Drosophila melanogaster: one gene and its partner. The gene in region 2 interacts genetically with the main gene of each other region. Each region holds a gene or a part of one and is shown on either strand. Other genes may lie near its edges.

The links. Genes that interact genetically often act in the same process or in processes that back each other up.
Region 1: of Cul3 (region 2) and Galphas, changing one suppresses a phenotype caused by changing the other (phenotypic suppression), as found in Drosophila melanogaster (one study listed by BioGRID).

What each region holds. Positions count from the first base shown.
Region 1 is NT_033778.4:23,940,426-23,944,182, reverse strand, and holds the start of Galphas (G protein alpha subunit s), read right to left. Parts: upstream 1,646-3,757; 5' UTR 1,582-1,645; exon of another isoform or gene 1,369-1,581; intron 207-1,368; exon of another isoform or gene 1-206. Other genes in the region: Taldo (transaldolase), read right to left, coding at 2,169-2,943, 3,003-3,126, 3,657-3,753.
Region 2 is NT_033779.5:15,268,654-15,272,410, reverse strand, and holds the start of Cul3 (cullin 3), read left to right. Parts: upstream 1-2,086; 5' UTR 2,087-2,494; coding exon 2,495-3,037; intron 3,038-3,206; coding exon 3,207-3,590; intron 3,591-3,653; coding exon 3,654-3,757.

The DNA.
Region 1 (3,757 bases), on a different chromosome or scaffold from region 2:
TTTCAGAACTAACGATCCTCGAGCTTTCTATTCCCACTAACTGAGATTCTCCAGCAGAAACCCATTTCGATTGCATAGAATCCCGAATCCACTTCAGTGCCCCCATATCATCCGCGTACGCGCGAGTGTAGCGACCAAAATGGGTGCCTACTAAGCCAAGGCGACGCCGCTGACATTGCCGCCCACGAAAGTCCCGTGAGTCACTGGGTTTCGGGTCCCAAAAGCGCTCGCATAGCATCGGAATCGGAATGAAAATCAAAATCAAAAATTACTCCACGCAACGCGCGTTCATTCGCGTTGGACATTCGCGTCGGACGATTGGAATTCATCACATTCATATTCACATCCATATTCACAGCCATATTCACATTCTCATTCACATCGACATCCACAACATCGGCGTAGTGTAACAGGTGAAGAAGGGGGCGGAGAGGGTGGCACTCTCGCGCATACTGGGCAGCAGGTACGCATGTATATAGAGATACCAACCCAACATAATTCCATCTGCAGTTGAGGCTCGAATGGAATGGATGGGTCCGATACGCGGATTCGGATTCGATTAGCTCGTATGTGGGTTTACGGATGAGTGTAGGCACGCGAATATTAAGAGTATTTAATCTAGCAATTATTGCCGACCGACGGGAGTCGCAGGAAGATGAACGTACTATACCCTACACATATACCTATATAGGCGGAGGGGGTGGTGGCAGATATGCCAGATATGGCAGATATGCAGATTTTAATGTAAATATATGTACATAAATTCATCGGCATCGGAATCGGGATCTAAGCGGGCACGGACACGGACACGGGCACATATATATCTCACAGATATGAGTACACACCGTTGTGTATCTACTCGTATATACGTGCGTATGTATTTAGATATATACACAAGTTCTCGGTTCGCATGTGTGAATGGATGGATGTACATAAATAAATGTATGTACATATATCAATACGTAGTGCTCCGTGCCTCCGAATCCGAAATATTTGCCATTTCTTTGACACTTGGTTAGAAAAACTATATTATACCTATACCATCGCGAATCGGATCGAATCGAATCGAATGGAATGGAATCGCATCGCAACGCATCTGCTTGGATTGGTTTGGATTCGAATGGATTGAATTCGATGGATGGGATTGTATTTTGGATATTCATGCGCGAACGATTTTTCACTGATTTCAGGTTTAAGGACATGGGACGCAGGTCGCAGGTCGCAGGACGCAGGACGTCCGAAAATCGGGAGGTCGGTCGAGATCGAGGGGCTGCAGGGGCGAATCACATCTCTGCGCGATGGCAATTACGTGTGCGAACGCGACTATTCCCTGCGTTCGACAATGGTTATTGTTTACCGTGAAATTACCGAACATTTTTATTCATGGGAGCAACTTCGGGCCAAGACTATAGGTGCACGACTCGGTTGGGAGCGACTTTTGGGGTCTGAAAAACAGGCAATTCTATCGCACCCGACGCGCCAGCCACTGTTTTCCGGATTCCCAATGTTCTTAGTCTCTGTGTGCTCGCAATTCATCAATTTGTAGCTTAAAAATTACTTTTAATACCAGTACTAACTCACTTTTTATATATTTTTTATTTTATGTATCAACCTAGGGATGCAACGAAGTAGATACTTTTATCGATAGTCAGTCTGCCTATCGGATAGTGCGGGCGGTGATGTAGATAGATATGTTACTGGGCCAAAAACATCTATGCCAAATGACGATGTGCTATTTTAGCGAATATTAATAATAAAATAAAGTATCCCGAGCTATGTAGAATAGCGAAATCCAGAAACACCCGTCCGATACTTTACATAAGCAGCCGTCTCTACAGGCTTACATAGATATTCTACACGGGCGTGTAGAAAACATGTTTGAAGTTGTTATGATAAGGTATCAAAAAAAAAGTATCTTTATCTGTGATATAATTTGCAAATTTTATTTATTTTGTAAACTTTTAGTATTTATTATTCGTATCCATATCTGCAACGAGTAATCATGCTATTTGCATGCCAAACCTATTCACCCATTTAATAATTTCCATAACTCCCAACTGAATCTTGTCATCTCTTTTAATTGTAGTGTTTATTAAAGTATAAAATCATTGTCTTTTTCAAAAACGAATGTATTCATCCTCCACCTGCTAGCGGACCCAGAGGAACATCTACTTAAGATAGGTCTTAATCAAATTCTCCAGCTTAACAGTATCCACGGCGAACTTCCTGATGCCCTCGGAAAGTTTGTCGGTGGCCATGGCGTCCTCGTTGAGCAGCCAGCGGAACCGGCTCTCATCGACGGTGATCTTCTCGATGTCCTGCAGCTTGGCGTTGCTTACGGACAGGTAGGTGACCACCGACTCGGTCTCGTTCTCCAGCTCCTTAAGCAGCGCTGGGCTGATGGTAAGCAGATCGCAGCCAGCCAGGGCCTTGATTTCGCCCACGTTACGGAAGGAGGCGCCCATGACCAGGGTCTTGTAGCCGAACTTCTTGTAGTAGTTGTAGATGTTCGTCACGGAGATCACGCCCGGGTCCTTGAGCGCCTCGAACTTCTTGGTATCCGTGTTGGCCACGTACCAGTCCAGGATGCGGCCCACGAACGGGGAGATGAGGGTCACGCCGGCCTCGGCGCAAGCCACGGCCTGTGCGAACGAGAAAAGGAGCGTCAGGTTGCAGTGCACACCGTGCTCGTTCTCCAGGATCTCGGCCGCCTTGATGCCCTCCCAGGTGGACGCCAGCTTGATCAGAATTCGCTCCTTGTCGACGCCCAGGGATTTGTACAGGGCGATCAGCTTCAGGGCCTTCTCCACGCTCTTCTTGGTGTCGAAGGACAAGCGGGCATCGATCTCGGTGGAAACGCGACCGGGCACAACCTTCAGGATTTCCGTTCCGAACAGCACGCACAGGTAGTCCATGGCCTCGGCCACCTGCTCACTCACGGAGCTGCAAACGATGGTATTCTATGTAGCTTTGTGTGGCAAACACCCAAGTGAACTGCTTACCCCTTCTTGCCCTTGGCGTATTCCACCGCCTTTTGGACCAGCGGCTGGTACCGCTCCATGGACGAAGCGGACAAGATGAGGGAGGGATTAGTGGTGGCATCCGTGGGCTTATAGATGTTGATGGCTGGAAGCAATGTGTAAAGTATTTGCATAAGTGCGGGGCCAAATTACATTGCGAATTTTAGAAAGACCTCGAAACCTGTTGAGCGACTTTCATTTTTCAATCGCCCGACCGAAAATATCTTTGAACTTTTCAAATGTCTGAGCAGGTTTGGCACTCTGCTCCGAAACCTTATCTCTGGTGGCATTCTATAGTACACTTTACTATAGCGGTCACATTTCTAACACACGTAAGCACCAAAGGTCAAACTAAAGTCAGCTCGGATTTGCTTTTCACTTTTATTTGATCTTCACTGCGGCAGACACGACGGATCCGATGGCCCGTCGTTAATGTTTATCTTTTGGATAAATCCATGTATCCTATGTATCTTTGGACTCGGATTCTATGTATGCTCTATATATGTATGGATGTTCGAGCTCAGACTCGCATTTCGCTTTAGTTGCATTTCTGGATTCCCACTTTTGAGGCAAACTTACGCTAGCTTTGAAATCGGACTCATCTTGTTAAGAAAAATACCTTGCGTGCGTACTTACCTTCAAAGTCGCCGGTGTCAGCCACAATTGTGGTGATTTTCTTGAGTTCCTGTAATACCGACATCTTTTGCTTTTTTAACGTGCGATCACTTCCCATTGCC
Region 2 (3,757 bases):
CAATTTAAATATATATTTGGAAATGTTATGTACTTTAAAAATTCAAAATTTATGAACATAAAATCTTTACCAAATAAAAATTAATTTATATAAATAAAGAAATCAATAATTAGTGACAATAATTCTTCTGGTTCTGCTTGTGATGCAAGCGTACTAAGAAGTCAGTTACTTTCCTTTTAATTTTTATATTTAATATTTATATTCCTTTAACAAATAAAATAAAAAGTAACTACATATTTTCTTAAGTTGCGTGCGATGCAAAGTCAGTTCCTTTCCTGTTAACTTTACTGGTTTTATTTATCATAAAGTTGAGAGCAACTGGTTTTGACACTATCGATGGAAAAGTACTATCGATAGCTATCACCATTCGCCTCGAAAAACAACAACAATGCTACTTTTGTCGCCCATCGCTATTAAAACCTACAATCAATATGAAATGCAAGTAAACGTTGAAAACAGCAACAAATCAAGCTAAATAATAGTAGTGACTTTACTAATGCATTCGCACCGGTAAAATACATTTTGAAATAGTAAAAATTGTGCGAAAGCGACGTGGAAAGCCGTTTCAAAAGGCCAGGTACAAAAACATACGCACACAAGCGTAGACCGTGAGACGGGCAGGCACCCACACGCACACACATATGTAACCCGTCTTTTCCATGACAAAGTGAAATAGAAGAATCGTTAAGAAAATAAAGAAAGCAACAAAGTGAAAATAGAAGCATTGGCTCGATAACGTCTAGCAATTGAATGCACTTCCCTGGGACGTATATTTATCGATCATCGGTTGGAAGTGCGTGCGAAAACAACGGTTCTTGTATTAATTGCACGTATATGTACATAACAATTATATTGTCGCCGTGTGAGTTTTTTTCACCGTTTCTTTTACGCGGAGAGATCGGATGGGCCAGCGAATCAATGTACATGCACATATATCCGATATCTGCGATATAGGCGGCGACAAAGGAAGTGACGACGCAGTACGGCGGATTGGTATCCCGGGACATATCCGCAATTGCAAACTATTCGCGAATAAAACCAGCCGCTTCCCCAAATAGACATACACACACGGGCATATATATACATATGTACGTACACACGTCTGCTTGTGTACATCGCGCTTGACACCCTAACATTTGCGTGGAATGTTTGCACAAATATACGAAACCAGAATGCTCATCTCGGCACCACCCTACGCGGATTGTAGCGTAAACATGCTGGGAGATCTGTGATAGAACTAATCCATTCACCTCTCCTTATCTTTCAGGATAAACCAAGGATAACCCAGGTTAACTGTGTTCTTGTTGTGTTAACCATTGATTGCCGCCGAGGAAAGCAGGTTCCGTCATCGGAAAAGTCGGAGAAGCACCTGCTCTTCTTGCAGCTCCCTGCTCCGGAGTCCGAACCGCCAATAAAGTGGAGGAGCAGTGCCGACGCTTGCAAAGCATGAATCTGCGGGGAAATCCTCCCAAGAAGGAGGGCAAAATGCGCATTCGGGCCTTTCCGGTAAGAACCCACATTGGAGCATCGTTAAAACCACGATACACACTCTTAATCGTGTAATATTGCTAAGAGCGAACTAATATGAGATTATCTATTATCTGACAACCCGGAACTAATACAAGTTTAAACCACAAACTGTAAAAACATTTTCATTTTAAGCTCAAATCCAAGAAATCACTATGAAGAAAGAGCTTGCTGTCCACAGCAAGTTGTATAATCCCAGATTATGCCATTTCTTTGGTTCAAAAAACAATGATCTTCAAATTTTTAAGATTAAGCGTTTGAAAAGGTTGAGTGCAATTTGCAAACGAATTTAAAAAACGAGATATACTCATTTGAAAAGCCCCTTACTCGCTTTGCAGTTGAGATGAGAGTTGCAGCGAAAAATCTGTCGATCGCATCATGAACTTGCAAAATGTTTCGATAAGATAATGCCATTTGCGGGTATTAAGAGTTAGATAATTTTTATAAAACAATTAGCAAATTCACCGGTTAGGCGACACCAAACATTTCTCCCCACAAAATGTCAGGCGACATGAAAAGCAAACACCAAAAATCAAAAACAAATAAAAACATCAAAACACCAACCGGGGCCAGGGGAATTTTCAACACACATTTTAGTTTTTAAGTTACAACGAATTCAATCGTAGTTTTCGAGAAATTATTGTTGACCAACAACACACACAAAAAGACTGTGAACACCTGTATGTGGAGAGCAGGGTGAAGGGCGAGACCCGAATCGCGAGTAGAACTCTGGCCGGAGTACGGAGCACAGAGGAGGAGGAGGAGCAGCGGACCAGGTGTAGCAGAACCGCGCGGCGGATGTGACATTGAAGCTATCATCATTAAGTCGTTAAACCAAAGTCGGTCTCGCCAGGCACCGGCTTCAGCAGCGGGCTATTATCCAGCCCCTCGCTCTCTGGCACTCAGCGAGGAAGAGAGGAGCCACTACCGGGACAGGACGTGTGAGCTGGACCAGCGTAGCAATCTCATGCAAGGCCGCGATCCCCGCCAACAGCAGCCGGAGCCACTGAACAACCTCAACGCCAACGGCCGCTACCACAATCGCATGGTGGCCGGCTCCAACAACTTCAATGGCGCAACTGTCGGTAATGTGGACTCTGCCGTGCCTTGCCGGATTGCAAGGCAAAACGTTCTTGGACAGCAGGCGCGAAGCATGAACATCAATGTGCCCAACGCCTCCTCAATGCAGCAACACCAGCAGTCCCAAAATCGATTGTCCGCTCAGGGATTAGCTTCTGCCTCGCGGCGGAGTTATCACCTTGCCGCCAGCGGTGGCAGAGTTCGGGCTGATAACAGAATTAATACTAACCACCCGCTCACGCCGACGCCACTTTCCATGCCAGTTCCAGCTCCTGCTGCTCCAGCTGTCGTTAAAACTGAAACTAGTGCAACCACCTCTGGGCCATCAACCTCAGCTTCAGCGAGCGCAGAAAGTACAGAAAAACGCTTTAAGGAAATAGCACGGAAGTACCCACTCTGGCTACCGGAGTACAAGCGAAGGGCATTCAATGTTAGCCTACCATCTGATAAAAACCAAACAGGGATTTCAACTTTTAGTTAACTTACTAACAAGCGAAAGTCTTAATATCCCTCTTACACTCTTATGCATTTATAAGTTTTAATCCCTGAGAAATAAGTTCTTGACTATCCAAATTAATAATCTTATATTTCTCTTCCAGGCCTCCATGGACGAGAAGTACGTGGAGACCATTTGGGCCAGCTTAAAGAATGCTATCCAGGAGATACAGAAAAAGAACAACTCCGGACTATCGTTTGAACAACTCTACCGGAATGCGTACAACATGGTGCTGCATAAGCACGGCAATAGACTGTATTACGGTCTGAGGGAGGTCGTCTCAGAACACCTGGAGCACAAGGTGCGGGCGGATGTGCTGGAGGCTCTGCACAGCAATTTCCTACCCAAGTTAAACCAGGCCTGGACAGACCACCAGACATCTATGGTGATGATCCGCGACATACTCATGTACATGGATAGAGTTTATGTGCAGCAGCGCGAGGTAGACAATGTGTACAATTTGGGATTAATTTTGTTCAGGGATCAGGTAGGAATATCTTTATTGCATTTATTCCGTTGGAAATATATTTATCGCTTTTTCCATTACCAGGTGGTTCGCTATTCTGAGATTCAAAAGGCCCTGCGAGAGAAGTTGCTGGGCATGGTGATGGAGGAACGTCATGGCGAAGCCATTAACCATCTGGCTATCAAGAA